Linked DNA regions of Canis lupus familiaris. The protein of the gene in region 2 purifies or fractionates together with the protein of the main gene of each other region. This does not show direct contact. Links are inferred from orthologs where the notes say so. Each region holds a gene or a part of one and is shown on either strand. Other genes may lie near its edges. The genes, in order: histone-binding protein RBBP7, GATAD1, SIN3B, PHF12, HDAC2, MORF4L2 and RBBP4.

The links.
Region 1: the proteins of GATAD1 (region 2) and histone-binding protein RBBP7 purify together in Homo sapiens (affinity purification with mass spectrometry; 6 studies listed by BioGRID and IntAct, counting the BioPlex papers as one, with this or other methods). This does not show direct contact. The link is inferred for Canis lupus familiaris from reciprocal best matches to the Homo sapiens genes GATAD1 and RBBP7.
Region 3: the proteins of GATAD1 (region 2) and SIN3B purify together in Homo sapiens (affinity purification with mass spectrometry; 5 studies listed by BioGRID and IntAct, with this or other methods). This does not show direct contact. The link is inferred for Canis lupus familiaris from reciprocal best matches to the Homo sapiens genes GATAD1 and SIN3B.
Region 4: the proteins of GATAD1 (region 2) and PHF12 purify together in Homo sapiens (affinity purification with mass spectrometry; 7 studies listed by BioGRID and IntAct, with this or other methods). This does not show direct contact. The link is inferred for Canis lupus familiaris from reciprocal best matches to the Homo sapiens genes GATAD1 and PHF12.
Region 5: the proteins of GATAD1 (region 2) and HDAC2 purify together in Homo sapiens (affinity purification with mass spectrometry; 4 studies listed by BioGRID and IntAct, with this or other methods). This does not show direct contact. The link is inferred for Canis lupus familiaris from reciprocal best matches to the Homo sapiens genes GATAD1 and HDAC2.
Region 6: the proteins of GATAD1 (region 2) and MORF4L2 purify together in Homo sapiens (affinity purification with mass spectrometry; 4 studies listed by BioGRID and IntAct, with this or other methods). This does not show direct contact. The link is inferred for Canis lupus familiaris from reciprocal best matches to the Homo sapiens genes GATAD1 and MORF4L2.
Region 7: the proteins of GATAD1 (region 2) and RBBP4 purify together in Homo sapiens (affinity purification with mass spectrometry; 4 studies listed by BioGRID and IntAct, with this or other methods). This does not show direct contact. The link is inferred for Canis lupus familiaris from reciprocal best matches to the Homo sapiens genes GATAD1 and RBBP4.

The regions. Positions count from the first base shown.
Region 1 is NC_049260.1:13,067,211-13,070,710, forward strand, and holds the end of histone-binding protein RBBP7, read right to left. Parts: intron 1,610-3,500; coding exon 1,499-1,609; intron 757-1,498; coding exon 688-756; 3' UTR 302-687; downstream 1-301. UniProt on the Homo sapiens protein: Core histone-binding subunit that may target chromatin remodeling factors, histone acetyltransferases and histone deacetylases to their histone substrates in a manner that is regulated by nucleosomal DNA.
Region 2 is NC_049235.1:17,996,099-18,000,176, reverse strand, and holds the start of GATAD1 (GATA zinc finger domain-containing protein 1), read right to left. Parts: upstream 2,801-4,078; 5' UTR 2,709-2,800; coding exon 2,436-2,708; intron 1,686-2,435; coding exon 1,560-1,685; intron 1,447-1,559; coding exon 1,388-1,446; intron 877-1,387; coding exon 798-876; intron 1-797. UniProt on the Homo sapiens protein: Component of some chromatin complex recruited to chromatin sites methylated 'Lys-4' of histone H3 (H3K4me), with a preference for trimethylated form (H3K4me3).
Region 3 is NC_049241.1:46,153,594-46,157,093, forward strand, and holds part of SIN3B (paired amphipathic helix protein Sin3b), read right to left. Parts: intron 2,559-3,500; coding exon 2,464-2,558; intron 2,229-2,463; coding exon 2,024-2,228; intron 1,896-2,023; coding exon 1,665-1,895; 3' UTR 1-1,664.
Region 4 is NC_049230.1:43,045,776-43,048,012, forward strand, and holds the end of PHF12 (PHD finger protein 12), read right to left. Parts: intron 2,082-2,237; coding exon 1,943-2,081; intron 1,594-1,942; coding exon 1,259-1,593; 3' UTR 501-1,258; downstream 1-500.
Region 5 is NC_049233.1:70,481,222-70,485,503, forward strand, and holds the start of HDAC2 (histone deacetylase 2), read right to left. Parts: upstream 2,801-4,282; 5' UTR 2,741-2,800; coding exon 2,626-2,740; intron 1,810-2,625; exon of another isoform or gene 1,723-1,809; coding exon of another isoform or gene 1,671-1,722; intron 907-1,670; exon of another isoform or gene 669-906; intron 1-668. UniProt on the Homo sapiens protein: Histone deacetylase that catalyzes the deacetylation of lysine residues on the N-terminal part of the core histones (H2A, H2B, H3 and H4).
Region 6 is NC_049260.1:77,644,975-77,649,081, forward strand, and holds the start of MORF4L2 (mortality factor 4-like protein 2), read right to left. Parts: upstream 2,801-4,107; 5' UTR 2,735-2,800; intron 1,549-2,734; exon of another isoform or gene 1,338-1,548; intron 1-1,337. UniProt on the Homo sapiens protein: Component of the NuA4 histone acetyltransferase complex which is involved in transcriptional activation of select genes principally by acetylation of nucleosomal histone H4 and H2A.
Region 7 is NC_049223.1:68,034,542-68,037,562, forward strand, and holds part of RBBP4 (histone-binding protein RBBP4), read right to left. Parts: intron 3,015-3,021; coding exon 2,904-3,014; intron 1-2,903. UniProt on the Homo sapiens protein: Core histone-binding subunit that may target chromatin assembly factors, chromatin remodeling factors and histone deacetylases to their histone substrates in a manner that is regulated by nucleosomal DNA.

The DNA.
Region 1 (3,500 bases), on a different chromosome or scaffold from region 2:
CCATTCCTTTTGGCAGGTCCTACTAAATAGGTGGTAGGTGGAGAGGCCAACCTGGTTTGTCCCCTTTGCTGACCCCTGCCGTATAAGCAAACAAGCTTTCATGGGGCAGGGGCAACAGATGTGTTAAGGTAGTTCCAGGTGTACAAGTCTAACCTCTCCCCATCTTTCGATTAGGACACTCTCGTGTACCCTGTTCCACACACATACCAGCTTGCTCCCAAGAAGGGACACACACACACACACACACACACAACACACACTCATGCTCTCCTTACCCAGGTTCTAAGAGAATAAAACAGAATTTATTTTAAAACTTTATTTCTGCAAAGCCAATCAACAAGTGTTGGAGGGAAAAAGTGTAAAAGTTATTCTTGCATATTTGGGAACAGCAAGCACTTAGTTTGAGAAAACAAGGACTTAAAATAGTTGAATCAAAGGCAGTACCCTGCTACTTGTATTTTAAAACAACAGTGATGTTCGTTCTTAAAACAACATTCCTTTCTTCCCTAAAAGCTACAATATGATACAGTACGCAATAGCTCACTTGAAAGTGCTAGAATCAGAAGGTAAAGAACGCCATATGCCATCTCACTTACATCTCCTACTATACAATGCCTTTCGGCGCTTGATAAACCAAGCATTCGTGTAGCATTACATTCAATAGAAACATCTCTTGTACTCTGGGTTTTAAGATCCTTGCCCCTCCAGTTCCGATGTTGTCACATCTGACTCTTCATCATTGTAAATATTTTCAGCCTAGAGAGGACAACCAAATAAACGCACAGGTAAAACTCCCCATGGTTTTTACAAAGTTCTCTACAAACAGCATTTAACTGTCTAGACTTTAGGATTCACTGGTCAACGTGTTTGTGTGTTAGACATTTTTAGAGTAATTTACTTAGTAGTCTCCTTACGCGCCACCACCCCCCTACCCCGCCACCCCAAGATTTGAATGAGGAAAAACCAGGGCCAGCGTTTTTTTTTTCTTTTTTGCCGGCGTTCTTATTTGGCAGGGAATTCCACCTTTATACCAACAAGCTGCCCGCCCCCTACGTATTTCTATTGTAAAAAGTGTTTCCCAAACAGCATTTCAAGCATCACTGAAATGAAGCAATGGCCCTGCAGTTAATGAGGGTAAACACCACCTCAGAAACATCAGGTACTTTGTACTCCACATCCGAGAACTCGGTATCCTACAAATGCGTGGACGCACAGCAGACACTGGACATTCAGCAGCGATGCCAAGAGCCCCGCCGAGGACGTGCACAACCGTCCCGCAAAGTGGAACAGATGCTGTGTCCCCATCTGTGTGTAGACACAGATTTTTCCTGACCTGACAGGTGCATAGTGAACTAAAGACTTGTTAAAATGGAGAAAGATCTTTTCAGATTGTTGCCTTTCTAGATTTGCTGTAATATGCACAATCTATAATAGAAACATTTCCAGTAAATAGTTTGTCTCTTCTTCTCATCCAGCAAAGAGAAATATTTTAGCTCACCATTTGCCAGATCTGCATGATGTTATCCTCAGACACCGAGCAAATGACCCACGGCTCATTGGGGTTCCAACTAAAATCTGATATCTTGGCGGTGTGTCCTCCATGAATAAACTGTTAATAAGAATTTTTAAAAGCCTTCGTTTCATATCTTATGTTAGCCGTTTTTAGAGCATCAGTCTTACAATTGAGGTTTAAAGGGAGGGGCTTACAGGCTCAGTAATCTACCTCTCCACTTCTCATTTTGCAAATTTCCAAACCCTCAGAAAAGGTGATAGAACAGTACAGGGACTGCCTGGGATACCCTTTGCCTACATTCCCCCAATTCTAACATGTTCACGAGTGCATTTTCTTACACAGACACGCCTACTGAGCCATCGCCCATGTACTTCACCCCACATCACCCAAAGGTAAAGACATTTTTCCTACACAACCATGATGCCATTGACATACCTAATACATTTAACAGTAATTCAGCCTCATTATCAGTTATGTGTAGTTAGGTCTACACAATAAATTAATGTTCTGTTATAGAGTCCAAAACAGGCCCACCCGAGGAGTCAGTCTCCCAGTTCTAGAGCTCCTCCTCCTCCCTCTTGCTAAGAGAAAGGCACACCTCCCCACCAGCCTGCATCTTTCCAAGGTGCATCACTCAGGGTGGGGATTCAAAAAACCAAAACCAACCCAGGGGTCCAAAGCAAAGCCCCAGAAAGGCGAGGCAGAGGGCTTTGCTATGAAATGATGAAGGAGGCAGAGACTCCTTCCCTATAAGACACAGACCACTCATGGGAAGGCACTGGGCTTTCCTTACCTCAGAATTAGCAATGGGAAGAAACCATTCTCATAGGGACAGTATGAATACACGATTTTGGACAGAGAACTCCTACTTCCTGACAAAGTCTGATTTGACTGAGGATGACAAATAAGTTACATGCAAGGTAACTATTTTTAGCTATTTTCCCCCCAGTTTAAAAATGATAGAACAGCTTTCCAGAATCGTTAAGGGGGACATAAGGGAAAATATATTAAGACCATAAGCCTTGGAATATATAAGGAGTCCTCAAATCAAGATATTGTTATACTAAAATTATACTTAGCATCCAGTTCACTACAAGTAAGTATCCCTTGATTTCAGGCTCTCCTGTGAAAGGAACAAAATCCTAGTGGATCTCGTCAAGGACCAAAAAAATTGTTAACTGTAATATAAAGGGTATCCAAAAATAGCTAGAGACCTTGAAAACATTACGCAAAGTACAAGAATCAGTCACAAAAGACCACTTTATATTACATTTCTATTAACTATCTAGAATACGCAAACCTAGAGACACAAAGCAGATCACTGGTTGCTGGGGACTGAGGAAAGAAGCAGACTGGGAGGTGGTCAAGAGTAGACAGTTCCTTTTTAAGGGGAAGGAAATGTTCTAAAATGGATTTGTGGCGACGGCTGTACAATTCTGTGAATAGACCAAAAACCTTTGAATTATAGCCTTTAAATAGGTGAACTATATGGTATGAGAGTTCTAGCTCAATAAAGTTTTTACCAAAGTAAAAAGTGCAAACAGCTGGACAAAAACAGCTGACAGCAGCACCTCAGCTAGAAAATAAAACTATGAAGCCGTGCCTCACAAAACGGACTTTTCAGATTAAGTCACTCAATGGAGAATAAACCATTTAGGTGCTGTCATCTGTCTAATTTATTGAGAAATGCTATTCCTTCATCAGTGGTGCACAGAACGTGCTGGCTTGTCGTCATACCCTCGTCACTTTCTGTCCACTGCCGTCTGACATGGTAACATGCTGGACAAGGAGTAAGGGGATCTCGGGATGTCTGTGCAACATGAGAGTTTAGTGAGCATCTCCTAGGGCTTGCCTTCCAGGGCCGCCCTTACCTTTTAAAAGTAGTGGGCAAAGCCCAAGTGTACCAAGACTTAGTACTGCCCTAAGAACTAAAAATATGTTACAGAGGGACACCTGGGTGGCTCAGTGGTTGGGCGGCTGCCTTCGC
Region 2 (4,078 bases):
AGTTGGGACCCTTGTCATCAGAGGAAATGTTCCAGGGAAGCTGAACTAAGACTATATGCAACTTCCTTGGCAGTTCTTAGTTATTTACCACCACCCACCCATTACAGCAATCCCTTCTTAAGCTGCAGTACATGCTTATATGTCACAACACAAAAACCAGGCCTCCCGAAATGTGTCTTGGTATCATCCTTGAAGACAGGGGTTGCTAGAGAAATAGCTACTGAAATAACTGCAGAGCATATTCTACCACAGAGGGAAACATGTGGTGATGCAACTATCATCAATCGCACGTTGACTTAACATGCTTTGTTAGCAGGTGTCTCATTTTAAGAAAACTAAATTAGAAAAGTCTTAAATAAATTAGGGGCAACTGGAGGATCCCTGGGAGGCTCAGCGTTCTGGAGCCTGCCTTCGGCCAGGGCGTGATCCTGGAGTCCAAAGTTGAGCTCCCTGCATGGAGCCTGCTTCTCCCTCTGCCTGTGTCTCTGCCTCTCTCTCTCTCTCTCTCTCTCTCTCTCTCTCTCTCGGTCTCTCTGTGTCTCTCATGAATAAATAAAATCTTAAAAAAAAAATTAGGGGCAACTATTTTCAGTAAGAAAAGAATCTGCAATCTGCACAAGAATTTACTACAGGGGGAATGCCTGGGTGGCTCAGCGGTTTAGTGTCTGCCTTCGGCCCAGGGCATGATCCTGGAGTCCCACATTGGGCTCCTGCATGGAGCCTGCTTCTCCCTCTGCCACTCTCTCTGTCTCATGAATAAATGAACAAAATCTTAAAAAATAATAATAATAATTTACCACAGGGCCCCTCTGTGTTTTACAAGGGAATATGCCCAACTTCAGAACTTCCTTTAGTGGTAAGGGAAGCATTCCTGTTCTGAAAGAAAAGAACACCGTACTGAGGTTTAAAAAAAGTCGTCTATAATGCACTGCCCACTGTGTATGGCCATTTTCCTCTTGTGTTTACAAAAATACTGAGAACTCCATGCAACAAAAGGCACTTTCAACTACTCCCCCGCCCCACACACACATCTTCCAACCATCTATTTTTTTATAGCAGCAGAAGGTTTAGCAAAATTTTTGATTCACATTCATCAAATTGATTATCGTAAACTTTCTGGGGCTGTAATAAACAAATGTGGAAATGAATGAGTTCCAGTATTATTTACTTAGATCTTTAAAGAATCAAAAAAAAAATTTCTTCCCTAATATATCTGGCCTTATCAAGAACCATAATCCCACCTCTTCCTTTGCATGGAGGACCCTATAAAATGCATTCAAGATTTATGTTTCTTTTTTTCAGACTCAAACCTTTTATTTCCCAGCAGGAAAAAAAAAAAAAAAAGCTAAAAAAATAGGATATTATTAACTATAAATAGTATGTATACCTCCTGCAACAGAGCTCACTTCCTTCCAGCAAGTGTGGACCACTCACTCCCCCAGGACACTGCGGAAAGGCCCCGGAAGAGCAAAAGTTCAGATGGGAGATGAAGGCAGTGACAGGACACACTACACACACAAGGCCATTACTGTAAAAGACACTGTCCACAATCATCTTACATTTTTTAATTTAAAAATATGTCTTCTCCCTTTTCCTTTGGTGGAAACTTTCTTTTCAGCAGCTGGAGCAGATTTGTATTTAGTGTTTCTCAGCCGAGCAGACCTTCTGTGAATTTCCTGCTTACTCTGTTACAGAAACAATTAAAGAACAAAAAAGATCAAAGTCGTAGAAAGATTGCTGTCCCCATTCAACCATCTTCCGGGGACTCCAGAGTAAGCCCCTTACGCTGACTGACCTTTCAAAACCACCCAAGAATGTGCCTTTTCTTTTGCCGCTGGGAAAAAGTACCTCCGGGACTGGGCTGATTACAACAGGGAGCGCCCTAGACAAGCATCTGCAGAGCCTCCAAAAAGGTGTCAACTCCTTACAACAGGGCCTGGGGGAGGCGTCGGAGGGAAGTCCAGGGCAAGGGGAGGACTACTTATTTGTTGTTTATAGTCCAGGAGAACTCTCCGACCCCAGGGAGCACGTTGGGTATGGCCCTTCCTGCAGTGGGATACTTACCGTGCTGTCATTTAAAACAAGGACACGATAATCTTACTTAGTAACATAATAAATTAACAGGGAAGTCAGTCCAGCAGCACGGCCCTATTTACGTGTGTACACGTGTGAGATGTCTGGTTACCACCGCGGATGTCACTACACTGAGGGGGGGGGTGGGGGTGGGGGGACTTCTGAAGGGTCTTAAATTTTCTTGCTCCTTTACACTTTCAATTTCTCACAATAATAGAAGGTGCTCCGCCCGGGCCAAATCTACACAGTCGCAATCCCCGCCAGGCGGGAGCGGGCGGGCCTCCCCAGCAGGGTCACCGCGCCCCGCAGGGACCGCGCCCCCCGGCCGGCCGGCCTCCGCGGGGGGGCCCGGAGGAGCTCACCTGCTTGCCGCCCCCGCCCCCGTTGCTCTGCGGAGGGGCGGCCGAGGTGCTGGCGAAGGTCGCCGCGCCGAAGCCGCCGCCGCCGCCACCGCCGCCGCCGCCGCCGCCGCCCCCCGTCCCGCCGGCCGCCCCCGAGCCGCCGCCGCCCGCGCCGCCCGCGCCGCCCCGGCCCGTGCAGTGGTGGCAGAGGATCTCCCCCTGCGGGCCCTTCTTCCACATGGAGGACGACGTGGTCTTGCAGACGCTGCAGGTGGGCTTCAGGCCCAGTGGCATCGTGGCGGGCTCGGGCGGCCCCCGCGGGCGCAGCGACACGGGAATGGCGACCGCCGGCTCGGGCCGCCCGCCGGCCGGCCCGCCACTCCCAGCGACAGGAAGAGCGGCGCGGGCGCCGAGCGGTCCACGCAGGGACCTGAGGGCGGCCGCTGCCCCCTGGAGGCAGGAAGGCGGCGACACCCGCTCCGCGACAGGCGGCGGCCGCGGCGGCCCCAGCGGCGGGAGGCGGGGCCGGGGGCGGGGCCTGGCCCGCGCGGCTTCCGGCGGTGGGTGGGGCCTGCGCGCCGCGGCCCCGGCCCTCTGACCGGAAGTGCCCCCTCGGGCTCCCCGGAAGCGGACCGTGGCGGGGACCCCCGTCTCCCTCTGCGGGAGGGGCGGGCGGGCTTTTTTTTGGCTTTAGGTCTGGGATCGGCCGGGGAGATGCAGAACGCCGAATTCAACTTGAATTTCAGAGAAACCACGAGTGCCATTTTGATATGAGTGTATCCCATGCACTATTCTTGGTTTCTCTGAAATTCAGATTTAACTGCGGGTGCTGTGTTTTTATTTGCGAAGTCTGGCACTCCTGAGGACGCCTGTACGCTGTTGAAGATTACAGTGTAGACCCCCCAGATACTTGTGCTGAATGTGTCGTGTCTATTGACGTTCATGCATTAGTTGAGACACATTTTAAAACATTTAGGATGGGGCAGCCCGGGGCGGGGGGACGGGGGGCTCCGCGGTTTAGCACCGCCTTCCTGATCCTGAGACCCGGCATGGCATCGAGTCCCACGTCGGGCTCCCTGCATGGAGCCTGCTTCTCTCTCTGTGTGCGTCTCTCATGAATAAATAAAATCTTTTTTTTTTAATTTTTATTTATTTATGATAGTCACAGAGAGAGAGGCGCAGAGACACAGGCAGAGGGAGAAGCAGGCTCCATGCACCGGGAGCCCGATGTGGGATTCGATCCCGGGTCTCCAGGATCACGCCCTGGGCCAAAGGCAGGCGCCAAACCGCTGCGCCACCCAGGGATCCCAAATAAAATCTTTAAAAAGTAAGAAAGCCTACGATGATGTCAAGCAGATGTTCCTTAGCTATTGGGTGGTGATGTTATCCCAGGTCCTGCAGCCTCTAAGCCGTAGGCCGCTGAGAGCATGAGGGTGGAAAGCCAAATAACTGATTTGGCCTAGGATGAGAGCATTATGACAAGCCAGCCCCCCTCTTATCCAAGTCGCTGGTCTGAACAGGCCTCCCCAGAGAAACGGGTCTCTGCTTTTCAGCCTCACTTCATAGTGTCCTACCTGTTTTCAGGATGCTGGATTTTCTAGACTTGGCATACTAGGAGGCATCTCAGTGAATATGCTGGTGGCATGCCTCAGCGAGAGAAAGAA
Region 3 (3,500 bases), on a different chromosome or scaffold from region 2:
AATGTGCAAATAAATAGAAAAGGAAAAACTACATTCAAAACAGCTGCAAAGGAAGTACAAGCCCCAGAACAGAAATTCTTCAAAAACAGAAGAGACGCTCCCTAGAAGCATGCAGGGCGGGGCTCAGTGGGGTGTGGCCCGCACCCCAGGGCCGCAGAGAGGCACGGAAGGGGCCACGGGCTCCGGAGGATGGCGCTGGGAGGGTCTGGTTCAGGAATTCCGGTAAGTTCCCTTCTTATAAAACAAGGATGTGGACAAAGTGCCTGGTACACTTGAGCAAACATGGGCTAGAAGACCCTGGGCAGGGCACACTGGCCCTGGAATCGCCCAGACCCCGAGTCAAAGGCTTTGCAAACCTTGAGTTCCACAGGTAACTTCTAGAAACACATCTCCAATCCCCAGAACTGCATATTTGGCACAGCTCAGTTTTGGGAGGGTGAGGGCTGCTGCTGGGCAGAAAGGAGGCCGCACGGGGATGGTTCTGGAGCCCCTGTTGGTTGACCCCCTTCTGATGGTGCCAGGAGCCCGGCCAGGACTTTTCATGGTGCAGGAATTCTAGAGAGCTGGTCCCCAGCCCAGACTGCTTGGCATTCTTGGCACAGAAAGCCTCTGTAGGGCAGTCGCCTCAGCCCCTCATGCCTGTCCCCTGTCCAGGTGGTGGCTCTAGGAATGGCAACGTCAAGGGCAGACCTGCAGAGTCCCACGAAGAGGGCTCTCAACTGCCCAAGGAACCGTGGGACTTGGCTGCTGCAGAAGTTACAACCACTAGGAGAGCTTATGAATAAATACTTGTGTGCATATATATATTTCTAGAATGTCCTTCTTAGGTACATGGCCGCACCTCTGGCCCCCCCACCAGTGTGGGGCCACTCGAGCTCCAAGGGAGTTTCAGGCTGAGCCCCCTCCCCTCGGGAGCTCGGAGTGTGGCTGCCATGTCAACACAGGGTTTGGAGTCCCATTTCTTCCAGGGTGGGGCCTCCCATGCCACATCCTGACACCAAAGCAGAATCTCAACAGTTTGGCCCAAAGGGCTCCTCCTGCTTTCAAAGTGACCAAGGACCCCACGCATTAGCAGGGCCACACCCATGCCCAAACTATCAGATGCAGGCATGGTCCCAGCTTGGGAAATTTCCAGAAGCTTTTAGAACCATTCAGGAAGGACAAGCTTTTCAAGCAGATCCCCCAGGCCCGACTCCTTCGATGTTGGGGTCTCTTGAATGCCGACCCCCTCCCCCACACATGCCCCCCAACGCGCAGTTCATCACGGACTTTTCCAGACACTGCACAAAAGGACCAGTGGTGCCCTCACCTAGGGATTTGGCACGTGTGATGAAAGCGGCCCAGCAGGTGCATAAAGGCCATCACTTGCTCCTCGGCCAGCGTGTTGATCCTCCCCCTTCCAGCAAGGAGCGAGCCCCGAGTTCAAGTGCAGGAAGGGGTCAGGTTTGGCACGGGATAAACCCAAAGGAAGCAGGGAAGCCGAAAGGGATGGTAGCACAGGGCCACAAGCCGACACAACCCTATCCTCTAGAGCTCGCAGCCTGTAGCAGCAAGGCTGGGGGACACTGTGCTCCCCTCAGGTTGTTCATGAGAAGGCCCCGATGCACATCTGGGCCAGGGAAGTGGCTGCACCAAACCGCGCGTCATGGCGCCCACCGAGGGAGTCAGGGCGAGGCTGGGCGGCGGCTGTACTGCACTCGGTAGCGGGTCACAGGCAGGCCGTGCACGTGTGCCGTCTCACAGAGGGTCTTGCAGGGCACCATGTCCTCGTCCTCCTCGCCCATCAGCCAGTCCTGCACCAGGCCAGCCGCCTCCACTGTCACGTTGTCCTCCAGCCAGCGGCCATGCCACTCCTCAAAGTGCTGGTGGTGGCGCAGCAGGACCAGTGGTTGTACCTGCAGAAGGGGGTGGGGAGGGGAGTCAGGGCAGCCCCAGATAGCCGTGGGCCGGATCCTGGGGGGAAAAAGGGTGCACACCACTCCCAGACAGCCGTGGCTCCCAGGCCCCGGGCAGAGAGGGGCACCTGCTTGGCCCGGCAGAGGGTCCCACGGCGGTACATGTAGTCCTCGGAGTTGACGATGAACATCATCTTGTGGGTGCTGAGCTTGAAGCGACAGTCCACGTTGCAGGCGCTCTCGACCCCGACCAGCCGCTTCCAGGAGCTCTTGGCCTCGCCGCGCAGGGCACGCACCTGCTCACACTGCCACCTGCGGAACTTCTTGAGGTTCCTGGAGGCGAGAGGAGGATCTGCAGACTGGGAAATCCTCACAGCCCGTAAACGCCGGGAAGACGGCTGACTTCCCCGGGGTCAGACAAATGCAGACCGATGTGGTGGAAACCACTACCCTACCCCTTTGGCCAGCAACACGGGGAAAACCAGTCAGGCCCTGGTGCTGGGCCCTGCTGCTGCCGGTGGTGGGAGCGGGTCCCCCGGGAAGGAACCACATCTGGGGGTCCTCTTACCTTTGCAGGAACACGGGCTTCAGGAGAAAGCCCTCGGTGGGCGAGCTGGATGCCCCCTCGGTCCCCACATACTGCTCCACATACCGAGCCAGGTGCTGTGGGGACATGGGGAGACAGGCCCGTGTCATTGGAGGCACCAGCCTCTCACCTGGGACCCTGAGCTCAGGGGCTCCCAGGGATTTCATCCTCAGTTTCCCAAAGCATCGGGAGGGTGGCAGCTACTGAGGAGCCACCAGATGGCAGCAGCTCTGGCTGAAGCACTTGCCCAGAGCCACAAGGTAGACAGCTGTGGCATTTCACGCTTGGGTGGATAAGCACACCTGCTATATGACATCCTCTCTGCACCCGTCACGTGACAAGCTCCCCCAGGGAGCGGGGCCTTCACACAGAGGAGCTGGATCCGAGGAGCGGCAGGGACAGGCCAGGCAGGAGTTGGGGATGAGCAGAAGGCAGGGCTTGCAGGGGCTGCTCAGGTCAGGGGTGAGCATGGTCTGCCGTGTCCAAGTGACCCTCCCTCTGTTCACCACCTTCTAAAAGCCACAGGCTCCTCCAGACTCAAGCCTCACAAAACCACATTTGCTGGAAACTTCTGGAAGGAGCAGGGTGTACAGACCCCCACCTACACTTGTCTGGGAAAGCATCTGCTGTTGGGAAGCCCTGAGGCCCACAGGGAAGGATTCCACAAGGGGACCCCCACTGGCTGCAGTAGTGGGGAGGGCCCTACTCTGTGAAGGAGGCTAGGGGCTTAGAGGCACCGGGATACCAAGTGGAATGTGCATCTAGAGTGTGGGCCAGGGGGTTTCTCCTGGTGACCAGGGGCTGGGATCCAGGGCTCTGGGCTTCAGGCACGGGGAGTACAGGGCCACACGCCACAGGGTCGGAGTGACCATGCAGGCCATGGGCTCAAGGGGGATGACAGTGTTTGCAGCAGGTGGGAGGAGCCAGGAAGAGGGTTTTGGGGAAGGATGGCCTGGCTCTCACCTGCCTTCCTGCCCTGGACATGCACACTGGCTCCTGATGGGGCATGTGCAGTGGCC
Region 4 (2,237 bases), on a different chromosome or scaffold from region 2:
GCAAGGGCCCACTCTCTTGGATTCTTTTTTTTTTTTTTCCTCTTGGATTCTTGTATATGGTTGCATCAAGTGATTTCCTCAAGTCACCCATAAAGCCAGACAACAGCCCCCTGCTCCCCCTTAGCAGAAGCAACCCTAGCCCTTCACTTTCCTACACCTATATTGGGCTTACTTTCCTCCCAGACCTTCCACCCTCCTGCCTTCCCTTGGGGACTGAGTGTCTGGGAATGAAATGAATTCAGAGACTGCGACCAGGATCTTGGGGGAGGGTCCCCTCTGTAAGGGTGATGACAGGTAGGACAGACAGGCAGAAAACATAATTTGAAGTATTTTTGTTTTTTTATATACAGAATACAGGAAAGTTTCTGTAAAGTCTAAAACATTACAATTACTATGTACATTGGTACTACTAGGGGTGGGAGGGTGGGGAAAGGAGGGAGCCAGGGGTGGGAGGAACAGGAGAGAAGTGGCAAGAGAACAAAAAAAGGAGACAAAACAGGTTTACGACAAAAACGTTTTTGCTACAATAGACAATTTGAAGAAAACGCTCTACCACATGTAGTACTGTACAGTTTTTAAAAACATTGAAAAAATGTCATCACTGGATGTATTTACACAAAATCCAAATACACTTTTCCTTATTTGAAATAAAATAAATGGACAGCCAGAAAAAGAATTCATTTCTCATTTGTCCATAATACACAGTAGCTACCTGTAGTGCAACCGCTGCAGAAAGGGAAAATAACTTGGAGGGTAGGAACCACGGAAGTAGGGTGGGTAGCGATCTTTATATTAAATAAAACAATGATATTGTATAGATTTTGCTGTATGAAAACTGTATTTTTTCTTTTAATATAAAACTATTGTCACTGCCACAAAATAGAACAAGTTTCTGATTATTTTACAACGGCGGGGGAGGGGGAGGGGGCGGGAGTCGGGTGGGGAGCGGTTTCATGTTTGAGGACGTGTCCAGACCGCCAGCCTTCCCCTCCCTGCCCACGCTGTTCCTCAGCTCGGGTCTGCCGCTTTCCCATGAAATGTTGAGTACAAATGTATGTGCAAATGCCCCCTAGAACTTGAGAAAAGAAAAAGGATTTTTTAAAAAACAGTCAAAGGTTTTTCTTCATTTCATGCAAAGATTGTGGTTGAAGGGTTTCTGGTGGAGTCTAGAAAAAACCCGGGCTTGGTTTGTGTACATTTTTGCATCGCAGGAGTCTTGGGTGGGGCGGGTGGGTGGGCGCTGGGGCAGCTGCCCGTCCTAGGGAACGGAGTTGGAGCGCAGCACAGGGCCCTGGTGGGGCTTGAGAGACAGCTTCTCTGCCAAGACCCCATCCTGCAGCAGGCCGGCATCGCCTCTGGGCTGTTTGGTCGCAAACTCAGTGATGCTGAAGACGAACTGCAGGCACCCCAGCTTGATGTAGCTGCCGTGGTGCAGTAAGGCCGTGCCCTCCCAGCCGGCCCCACTGCCCCCAATCAAGCTCGAGCTGCTGGCTTTGCAGTTGCAGGGTCTCTGCTGTGGCCCCTGGGCCTGGGAGCTCATCACGGCTGCCTCCTCGCTTGGCTCCTCATCCTGTTTCTGGTGCCGGCGGCGCCCTGGGAAGAAAGAGGGCCATCACTGGGAGAGGAACGGTGAGAAGCCAATCCATCTGGGCTGTTTGCCCCTGGCTGGGGCTCTGTTCCTCCCCTTTCTAAATGCTGTGTTCCTAGGGCTGAGGGACACCAGGAAAGGCCCCAGGGAGCTGGAAGTCCTTAAGGAGGTGTATGTACCCATAGCACTGGCTTCTCTGTGGCTTTCCCTGGGCCCATGGGCAAGGAGAGCCTGGCCAATGGGACCGGGAAGGTGAGAGCAGGTCATTGGCAGCAAGCCAGAGCCACCCTGACAGGGGTCTTAACACAATGTGTCCAAGAATGGCCAGCTTTGTGGCCACAGGCTCCAACTTACTGATGACATTCTGCACTTTGGCAACAATACTGCTTGGGGGGGTTGGCGGGGTCTTCTCGGAGAAGTCACATGAATACAGCACATTGTCCACCGTTGTCCCGTGCTCACTGTAGTTTAACAGCTCATAATGTTTGGTATTCTGAGGAGGAGGAGGGAAGATAAGATGTGTGGTCTGCTGCGTGGGGCCTGGGGCTAAGGGGAGAGAGGACACATGGAGAAGGCTGTGCTGCTCTACCTCGGGAGCTCTCTTTCTTCCCCAGTCAAGCCCCCCCCGCCCCCTTCCCTGTTTCTTTAG
Region 5 (4,282 bases), on a different chromosome or scaffold from region 2:
TATCTAGGTTTCTTATGTATCGTTTTTAAGTTTTTCCATAAGTGCCGCAGGTGGTCATTTTACATAATCGGGCGTCGAGATTCAGCCTTGCGGACCGACCTGACGCGACCCGGCCACTTTCAAGGTAGAATCGCACGTCTGGTGACCTGGGCCTGGAAGGTGCGCCCCCTCCCCGCGCAGGGGCCTCGGACGGACCGCGGGGCTTGCAGGTCGCCGGGCCGCGGCATCTCTGCTTCCACACGGCGGGGCAGCCGACTTCGCCGCGGGCCGCACGGCTGGAGCCCACCTGCTCACCTGTCACCTGCTCACCGGTCGGTCACCTGCTCACCTGCTCACAGGCTCACCTGCTCACCCGCTCACTGGCCACCTGCCCACCAGCTTACCTGCCCACTGGTCACCTGCCCACCAGCTCACCTGCTCACGGTCACCTGCCCACCGGTTCACCTGCCCCTTGGTCACCTGCCCACCGGCTCACCTGTCTGCCTGCTCACTGGTCACCTGCCCCCCCAGGCTCACCTGCCTACCTGCTCATCGGTCAGCTGCCCCCTGGCTCACCTTTCCACTGGCTCACCTGTCTGCCTGCTCGCCTGCTCACTGGTCACCTGCCCACCGGTTCACTTGCCCATTGGTCACCTGCCCACTGGCTCACCTGTCAGCCTGCTCACCTGCCCATTGGTCACCTGCCCACCGGCTCACCTGTCCGCCGGCTCACCTGTCCACCATCTGCTCACCCGCACCCCGGCTCACCTGTCCACCACCTGCTCACGGCTCACCTGCCCACCTGCCCACCTGCTCACCCGGCCCTCCTCGAACTTTTCCCACCCGAAACTCCCAGCGCCCGGCAGCGGCTTTCGCAAGCCCGACGCCCGGGTGTTATTTCCTGACCGAACAAAGAGCAACAAAGAGGTGGGTGGTGACCGCGCCTGGGCGGGCCCGCGGGGGGCACCTGCGCCCCCGCCCCGCCCCGCCCCGCCCGCCGAGCCAGGGCGGCCTCACGCCTCCCAGTCGGAGCGAGGGGCGCCCGAAGGGGCCGGCGGCGGACAAAGGAGCGGGACGGGGCCGGGGCGCGGGAGCCGGGGAGCGGGGAGCGGGGGCCCGGGGCCGCCCTGCAGCCCGACCCGGGGCGGGGACCGGGGCGGGGGGCCCGGCCGACGCTGGGGGCGGAGCGCGGAGCCGAGCGCGGCGGCGGCCCCCGCCCGGGAGGGGAGGAGGGAGGGGCGGGGCCCTCGGGGCCGCGGGGCTTTGTGCGGAGCCCGGGCCGGGGGAGCTGCCCTGACCCGGGGGGAGGGGTCGGGCCGGAGCGGGGCCCACACGGCCGCGGCGGGCAGGGGGGAGGCCGGGGGGGGGAGGCAGAGAGGACGCAGGGGGGAGGCCAGGGGGGGGGGAGGCGGGGAGGCCGGGCGGGCGGGAAGGAGGCGGCGGCAGGGGGAGGCAGGGGGGGCGCGCAGGGGGGAGGCCGGGCGGGCGGGAAGGGGGCGTCGGCAGGGGGAGGCCTGGCGGGCGGGCGGGCGGGCGGGCCGTCCCGGGGCGTCCCCGGCCCCGTCCCGTTCCTCCCCTCCCCTCCGCGGTCCCCGGCCCCGTCCCTCCGCTCCCCTCCCCTGCCCTCCGCGGTCCCCGTCCCTCCCGGCCCCGTCCCTCCCGTCCCTCCGCTCCCCCGCCCCGGCGCTCACCGTCGTAGTAGTAGCACACTTTCTTCTTGCCGCCTCCCTGACTGTACGCCATGGGCTCCCGCCGCCGCCTCGGGCTCGGGCCGCTCCGCCTGCTGCTGCTGCCGCCGGGCCGCCCGGTCGGCGGGGACACTAGCGCCGCGGCGGGCGGGGGCGGGGGCGGCTGCGGGCGGAGCTGGGCGCGGAGGCCGCGGGGCGGGAGCGGGCCGAGCGGGCCGAGCGGGCCGGAGCGGAGCCGAGCGGGGGAGGCAGCGGCGCCGACGCGCGACACTGGGGAGGGGGAGGGGCGGGGGCGGCCAAACCACCTCCGGGGGCCGAGGGGCGGCGGGCGCGTCCACGGCGGCCTCGCGGGGGGGGGGGCGGCCGGGCGGGGGCGGCCGGGCGGGGAGCGGCCCTCGGCCCGGACGCGGGGGGCCTGCGGTCGACCGGCGACGCGGCCGGGCAGCGGCGGAGGCAGCGGCGGAGGCAGACGCGGCAGGCCGGGCCGGTCGACGGAGGAGCGCGGCGCCGCGGGCCGCCCCCCCCCCCGCCCGCGCACGGTGGTTGCGCCCGGCCGGAGCCTGCGCAGTGGCGGCCGCCGGGCTGCAGCGGCCGCCGGGCCCCTCGGCGCCGGCCCACGCGCTCCCCTCCCCCACGGCGCGGAGCTCCCGCGCGGGCCGACCACGTGCCGCCGCCGCCGGGGGGGGGGGGAGCCCCGCCTGCACCCCTCGGGCCCCCTCGGCCGCCCGGCCCGCCGCGCCTGCCCCTGCGCTCGTTCTCTCTTCCCTTTTCCTTTTTGCTAGTTGCTCCGGGGCCCCGACCCCATAGGGGGACCTAATAGGGCCAGTCGGCTGCAGGCCGTACTTCCTGGGTTTGAAGGGGTGTCGAGGGCACGCATGTGCACTGGGGCGCACGGCACAGCCCTCAGCCTGTGCACTGGCAGCATTTGCACGGAGCCCGTCCCGTGCACGACACAGACCTGCCGAGACCCCAGCGAGCGCGGGGCGCAGGCGCGGTCGCCGCCCCCTCTGTGGGCCGGAGCGCGGATGGGGGGACCCGGGCCTGCCGGCTGCAGGACCCGGGTCCCGGTGCATTCCGTCTGGCTCCCGGACCTGCACGCCCTCGTGCAGCTGCTGCAGCTGCTGCAGCTGCTCCTGGCCGGGCGCCCGAAGGTTGGAGCAGGAACCCCAAAGACAGCGCTTGCAAAACTCATGGAAGTTGCAAATACTGATGCCCGATGAGCGAATCCACAAACATGCATCAAGCATGCACTTAGTCTAAGCCAACACCTTGCACGTGAGGCCTGGGGGCACTGACAATCTGCAAAGTAGCGCTCTCATCCCAACTGTATCTTTCACAGTCCCCCCCCCAAGTACCCAAATACCCCCAAAACACACTCTTCCAGGTACCCATCCAAAAAAAAAAAAAAAAAAAAAGCCTTATTGGAGCAGGAGCTATTTAGAGCCACTACCAAAAATGTCTTCTTTATTTTGCTCTTTGGCTTCAGAATCCCCAAGGTGTTTATATTTAAAGCAGTAATTTTCCTGGATCTCACCCCAAAAGGTTTCTAGAAAACTCCAAAGTAATCCCTTCCCAAATACCCCAAATACACTTTTCCAGGTACTCATCCAAAAAAAAAAAAAAGCCTTATTGGAGCAGAAGCCATTTAGAGCCACTACCAAAAATGTCTTCTTTATTTTGCTATTTGACTTCAGAATCCCCAAGGTGTTTATACTTAAAGCAGTAATTTTCCTGGATCTCACCCCAAAAAGTTTCTAGAAAACTCCAAAGTAATCCCTTCCCCACCCCTCCTGCCAAGTCTGTATTTTGAACAAGCGCTCCATGCAACCCACGCGGCTGGTAGGGGGGCAGCAGGGTGGGAAACATGGGCTCAAGGTTAATTACAAGATACTGACGTTCACAGTTTTATTCAAGTCCCAAAGCAGTTTGGTAGATTCTAAGTAGAAACCTCTATTCTCAGGACCAACAGAGTGAAGGCTGAAATGGGACTTTATGGTCCTCAAGAAAATCTCCCTGACTTCACCTACCTCCCGGGCTGGGGCCTGCCTCTCTGCCCTTCCCATCGTCTGTCCTGGGGCCTCCTAGCGCCCTGGCTCCATACCATGCGGAGGTTGCTCACGACTTCTCTGAACTTCTCTGAACTTCTCTGAACTTCTCATCAGAATAGAGTTTAACAAGACTAAGGACTATGTCTGTTTTGAATGTAATTACATCTCTATGCTCGCGACATGGGGCGAGTCGCTTAAACATTTTTTGGTCTAATTTGCCTTATCTGTAAAATGAGGCAGTATTACTTGAATAATTCCCCATGTGAATATTGAGTCCCTCGAATAAGAAAACATGGAATCATTTTTTTTTGAATCATTTTTAAACATTAAAGAACTGTGTGAATATAAGGGATTATTACAGGGATCCCTGGGTGGCTCAGTGGTTTGGCGCCTGCCTTTGGCCCAGGGCGTGATCTTGGAGTCCCGGGATCGAGTCCCGCATCAGGCTCCCTGCATGGAGCCTGCTTCTCCCTCTGTCTGTGTCTCTGCCTCTCTGTGTCTCTCATGAATAAATAAATAAAATATTCTTTTAAAAAAAGGGATTATTACAATACAAGTAATAATAAT
Region 6 (4,107 bases), on a different chromosome or scaffold from region 2:
CATAAAGTAAAAAGATATGAGATCCTTTTTTTCTCCATCAACCAATGCATTTTATCACACACAAAGGACACCACTGCTGATAAATAATGTACAAATGTGTCTTTTTCCTTTTTTGTGGTTATATTTTCAAATTTATTGTACATTTATCCTTATTTTTGATAAAGTAACTGTATTTTTATACTTTTTAATAAGGATAATTTCAAATGAATAAAAATGTAGAAGGAAGAGTATTATAAACCTATACCAATCACCCAGCTTCAACAATTACCAACTGAAGGCCATCTTGCTTTATCTATAACCCCACCCACTGCTCCCCCCACTCCGATTTTTTTTAAGCTCACTGAATAGCTGATTTTATGTATTTTATTACAGAAAATGTCAAACACATACCAAGGATGACGGAATAATAAAAGGAACCTCATATGCCCCATCACTTAGCTCAAACAATTATTAACTTAGGGCCAGTTTTGTTTCATCTATACCCTTCCCCACTTCCCTCTACCGCTGAGATTATCTTGAAGCAAATCCCAGTCATCAACGTATTTGAAGTCATTCTCCGACATTTTATTACTTAATCCACAAATATTTTCCTATATACCTCTACAAAATAAAGATAATTTGAAAACACAACCATTAATGCCATTATAACGTCTAAAAAATTGACTTCAATTCCTTAAAAAAAAAAACACATCAAATCCATTTTCAAATTTTCCCGATGCATCTTAAAGTGTTTTTAAGTTGGTGTGTTCAAATCAGGATCCAAACAAGGCCTACTCATCGCATGTGGTTCATCTCCTCATCGCTCTCGTTCTCCATCTCCCCCACCCCCCGCCTTTTAAACTTTTCAATATGGAAAATTCCAATCCCCGCTATTTTGAGCTAATTCTCAAATAGTAAATTATTTCATCGGCAAAGATTGATATGTCTCTTTTAAAGCTCAAATTTCTTATAAGAAGAATCTGATGAGCAGAAAAAGCACTGTAATGAACAAATTTACACAATTTGTTTTTTTTCTCATTCTATTACGCGGGTTTTTCACTCCACAATAATAGCGAATATCTTTCGGAACCAGGATTGGTATTAAGCGTCTTATACGCACTAATACACAGTACAAGCCTCTGAGGTACACGTCTCTGAGGTAGATACTATCACTATCACCATTTTACAAACATGGAAACCGAGACACTGAAAGAACAGGAGCCAGCCCAAGCTGGGCGTTGGCGAGTAGGAATTTGAAAGCAGCTCTGCCCAACTGTGAAGGCACTACTTAATATTGTCAATATATGCGACGATAGAAATAAACCATAAACCCTTTCACCCCACCCCCACCCCGAAACCTGAAACGAGAATCCAGTTCTTTCCAGCAGCCGACGTGTGATCACTGCCGTCCCTCCAACCGCCATAGTAAAGCCAGGTTTCTCTGGCAACTGATATCCATAGGCAGACACGTCACCCTGGAGGCGGGCTTATGGTCTCCAGCCAATGATAATCGTCTTGTCTAAGTTTTAGAATGTTCCATAACCAAATGATTGGACGAAGCCTAACACGTCAGCGATGACTCTTCGCCGCAGTAAAGGCGGGTGCTAGCAACCTGCTTCTTCACGGTTAAGGCTTGAAGCAAACCAATCATCTTTCTGCTTTAGAGAAGGCTCTGGCCAATGACGCTTGCCCTCTTAGGTTCTTAGCCCGCCCTTCAAAAGCGCGACAGCCGTTGGGTCATAAGTCTATAGGGCAGGGTGTTCACGTGGCCTATTTTCACGACCCAGAGTTCCCCTGGCCAGAGTTTTTTTTTTTTTTTTTTTCCCCTGCAGGGAGGCATTATGGGTTTTTTTTTTCCACTGGGAAAGGAAGTGCCTACGTGGCCTGCGGAAACAGGATGGGCGGAAATGAGCTAAGGTTCCCGCGAGTGGGGAAGCGCGAGGTCAAATTTGGGGCCACGCCCCCAACCTCTTGCGCAACTATCGGAGTGAAAAAGAAAACAGAGCGGGTGTTTTAATGTGTGTACAAGCTGGGGTGGTGGGTGTGTGTGGGCGTGGTGTTGGGGCCTCTGTGTGCGCGGGCGAGCTCCCGTGGCCTTGAGATTGGGATGTGCGCGCGGCAGCCCTCGTGGCGTTGGAGGTGGTGTCTGTGCGCAGGCGTGCGCCCCTAGCGTTGAGAGACAGCGTTGGGGTCGGCGTGTGTCCTGGAATCCGGGCGTGCGTGTATGCGCGCGCACATGCGTATGTGCATGTGCGCGTGCACGCGCGCTGTGTACAGAATATTCTCTACTTTTCTAGAAGTTTGAAAATTGTTCTAATGAAAAATAAAATAAGTCAAGGCGACCATAACCAATAAAGAGCATTTGCCAGGAATATTTTTACCTCTCCTAGCGATTTAATTTCAGACCGTAAAAATACACTTGCTTCCCACGTTTTTTCTCTTGCCAAAATCCTGTTTTAAACCATAGCCGTCCAAAAGGTAAGAGTCAAACGTTCCCATCTTAGCAATTCCAAAGAGCAGCTTTTTTTTTCGGTTCCCTAGTATCCTCTCTCCCCCCTCCAACGTTGCCTGCCATTCTGTTGGCACAAACACAATTTTCTGCCTCAAATATCTGTATGTGATAACCTTCCCCTTCAGTTTCTCTCTCTCTCTCTCTCTCTCTCTCTATATATATATATATGTATATATATATATATACACATACACACACACACATAGAGACTCTCAATTTCTGTAGAAGCTGAGGCTCTCTTACCTTTTTGTTTTGATCTCCAAGCACAGTGCCCTTCAGGCAAGTAGCACTCAGCTAGTTTTCCAGAAAGTTCTCTGGGTGAGGTTTATACCTCCTGAATCTGCCACTAGATGCCACCAAATCCCAGCAAAGGATTGGCTGTTAGTCCCTGGAATCCTGGGATTTTTCCCCCCCTTTCTTTTTTTTAGATTTTTTTAAAAAATTTTTATTTATTTATGATAGTCACAGAGAGAGAGAGAGAGAGAGAGGCAGAGACACAGGCAGAGGGAGAAGCCCGCTCCATGCACCAGGAGCCCGATGTGGGATTCGATCCCGGGTCTCCAGGATCGCGCCCTGGGCCAAAGGCAGGCGCTAAACCGCTGCGCCACCCAGGGATCCCTTTACCCCCCTTTCTGATTTGTTGAATTCCACAATGTATAGAGGTCATGTATATCTTTCATTGCTAAGGAAAAATCAAATTAACATTTGTAATTAGCCCAACCAGACAGAGAACTATAGCTCTAGATTCATATGTTTTTCCTTATTTCTTCTTTAAAAAAATTCTCCCCTCCAGCCCTCTTTCCTTTCTTCCTTGCCTTTTTGTGGGGTCAGAATTGATCAATGACCCCAGGCACTGATGCCCATGAAGATCTGAATCTTTTCTGTGCATCTTTTCCAATGCTAACAACACTCCCCAGTGGAAAATGTAGGTGGATATTTAGTCAATAAAGACAGATAAGAACTTGGACCCTGATATTGAAAACTGATCTTTTTCTCTTCAAATTTTTATTAAATAAGTGTGTTTGCACCCTATTTTTTGTAGTGGTACTGCTACACTTTGTTATGTCTTTGGAGTTAGAGACTTAATTTTAATTCCCGGCTTACTAGCTGTGAGACCTTGAGTAGACGATTTATGTTCACTGATACTTAGGTTTTTGCATGCTTTCTATATTTTAGATCCTGTGTCATATCCTATACATGGATATTCTTTTATTCCTCACAAATTCCTTATTAGATGGGTGAATAAATAAACTTCAAAAAAACAAAAATTAATATTTTTAAATTATCAATCATATACACTTGTGTGCATGCATGCATGTGCACACGCACACACAGAGGGGTGAGGGCCGAGATTTGTTTTTATATTTATTTATTTATTTATCTATTTTTTTTATTGGAGTTCAATTTGCCAACATATAGCACAACACCCAGTGCTCATCTCATCAAGTGCCCCCCTCAGTGCCCGTCACCCAGTCACCCCCAGCCCCCGCCCACCTCCCTTTCTACCAGCCCTAGTTCGTTTCCCAGAGTTAGGAGTCTCTCATGTTCTGTCTCCCTTTCTGATATTTCCCACTCATTTCTTCTCCTTTCCCCTTTATACCCTTTCACTATTTTTT
Region 7 (3,021 bases), on a different chromosome or scaffold from region 2:
TGACACGACTGAAGAGTTCTCCCAACTGTTTTTTTCAGGAGACCAATCCCATCCTGAGGCCTTCCAGAGGCCCCAAAATTACCTCCTTAGCTTAAACTCAGGTATGGCCAAAAGGGGCTCCTTAAAAACAGACTCCTACCACTTAGACAACCTTAAGGGTTTTAGGATCTTGGACAAACACTGAATATTCACTTGTTTAACAATTCTATTGTTCTTTTACCACTATTCTAAAAACACGGAGCAAAAGAACAAACTGGCCTGAAGATGATGTAGTTCAATATCCTGCAACATTCCACAGCAACTAAAATAGGTTTAATTGACAGGCTATCCCAAGGCAGCACATATCACCCTCCTGTCAGAACTCTTAACTTTAGGGGCACCTGCGTAGCTCAGTTGGTTAAAAGACTGCCTTTGGCTCAGGATATGATCTCAGGGTCCTGGGATTGAGGCCCATCTGAGGACATTGGTCTCGCTGCTCAGTGGGGAGCCCACTTCTCTTTCTCCCTTTGCCCCCCACCCCACACATGTGTGCATAAATAAAATCTTAAAAAATGTTTAAAGAGCTCTTAACTTTTTATATTAATTATCTATGCATATATTACAAGGAAAAAGGTGAGGTAGATTTTCTGTTTATATGTGTAATACGTACTTATTATTACAAATCGTAATAGTGATAGGTATATAAAGAAATCCAAAGGGCAGCCTGGGTGGCTCAGCAGTTTAGCGCTGCCTTCAGCCCAGAGCATGATCCTGGAGATCCAGGATCGAGTCCCATGTCGGGTTCCCTGCATGGAGCCTGTTTCTCCTGCCTGTGTCTCTGCCTCTCTCTCTGTGTATCTCATGAATAAATAAATAAAATCTTTAAAAAAAAAAAAAAAAAAGAAATAAAAAAACTCCCTAAATATACCAATCTTATGGCAAAGAGCCTCCTAAATAATTACATATAATTAAATTCAAGACTAGCTATAATAATATGAGGGATTATAAAATGCTATTTATTGTCCAACGATCTGCTTTTTTCCCTACTTCATGTCATGAATATCTTATGAAAACGAAGCATATTTCTTTTGGATATATAACATTTCAAAGTATGGATATACTATGTAACTTGTTAATCTCATAAGCCACAAAAACTCATTTTTTTTCTTTCCATTTCTTTTTCTTTTTCTTTTCAAGATTTATTTATTTATTTATTTATTTATTTATTTATTTATTTATTTATTAATTAATGAATGAGTGACACACAGAGAGAGGCAGAGACACAGGCAGAGGGAGAAGCAGGCTCCATGCAGGGAGCCCGATGTGGGACTTGATCCCTGGACTCCAGGACCATGCCCCGGGCAGAAGGCAGCACTAAACCGGTGAGCCACTCAGGGATCCCCTTTCTTTTCATTTCTTTAACTTTGATTAATAGTGCTATTCTTCAAGAGAGTTCTGATTATTTAAAGTATTTTTCCTTACACTGAACCAAAAATTTTCCCCTGGAGCTTATTCCTACCTCTACATCTACTTTAAAACACCAAAAGCTTTTTTTCCAAATCTTTTCATTCATCAGGCCACGATCATTCAAAAGTTATGCAATTAAAAAATGGTGGTAAAAATAAAAATTTAAAATTATAAAAATAATTTAAAAATTATTATATAAAAATTTGCCATCTTAATCATTTTTAAGTGTTCAGTTCAGTGGCATTCACCTTGTCTGCAACTATCACCACCATTCATCTCCAGAAGGCCAATGTTTCTTATATTGCTATATATTAGACAATTTAATAAAGATATCTTATTAAATTCCAAGCACTCGGGAAATTCAAAAACGGGTAATCAATTCCCAATTGGGGTAAAAGGGGCAGGAGTATTTTGGGAATCTAGTAACACTTCATGGAGAAATGGCAGTATGTGATTCTGTGCCATTGTGGTAGAAACTGTGCTAGGGGGATGCCTGGGTGGTTGAGCGTTTTGCCTTTGGTCCAGGGTATGATCTCGGAGTCCTGGGATCAAGCCCCACATCGGGCTTCCTGCCTGGAGCCTGCTTCTGTGCATCTCTGCCTCTCTCTCTCTGTGGGTCTCTCATGAATAAATAAAAAAAATCTTAAAAAAAAAAAAAAAAAAAAAAGAAACTGTGCTAGGCATGTTCACAAACCACATCAAAGGAATGATCATTCCCAAAGATTCAACAGCTAGCAAAGCAGGGAAAGCAGGAGGCCAGCAAGGAGGCTATTGCAAGAGTCTAGCAAGTAGTAATGAGAACATGACCAAAAAATCAGGGTGTGTAGTAGAAATAGGAAAGTGGGGTATGTAAGTGGTTTATCTGTAAGGTGAGTACAGATACAAGAAACAATGCATACAATGTAAAATCTGTTAAGTAAACTAGACTTAGAGGTGAATAAATAATGAAGAACTCGGGCAGCCCCGGTGGCGTAGCAGTTTGGCGCCGCCTGCAGCCTGGGGTGTGATCCTGGGGCCCTGGGATTGAGTCCCACATCAGGCTCCCTGTATGGAGCCTGCTTCTCCCTCTGCCTCTCTCTCTGTCTCTATGAATAAATAAATAAAATCTTAAAAAAAAAATTAATGAAGAACTCTTGAATTTTCAAGTTGGATGCGCTGGGGGGCGGGGGGGGGGGCGGGACACTACACTGGAGCCATATAGGAAACAGGAAAATCGGGAGAAAGGGGGAATGAGGAGGAGGAGAGAAGTGTGGTTTCCTTAAGTCTGAGATAAGCAGTGTGATAAGCAGCTAAAAGCAATGAGCAGGCACTTGAAAATGATAATGTGCAGCAAATGCTAAAATCATACTTAGGAGTAAACTAACCAGAGATGCCAGCTGTATTTGTAAAGTCGATAAATATGAAGTGATACTACATCTCATTTATTTAACTTCCCCCAAATAAATGACACCACTTACCATTTGCCACACTTGCATGATATTATCTTCTGATACAGAACAAATCACCCAAGGTTCATTGGGATTCCAGGAGAAATCAGATATCTTGGCAGTGTGACCACCATGAATAAACTGGAAG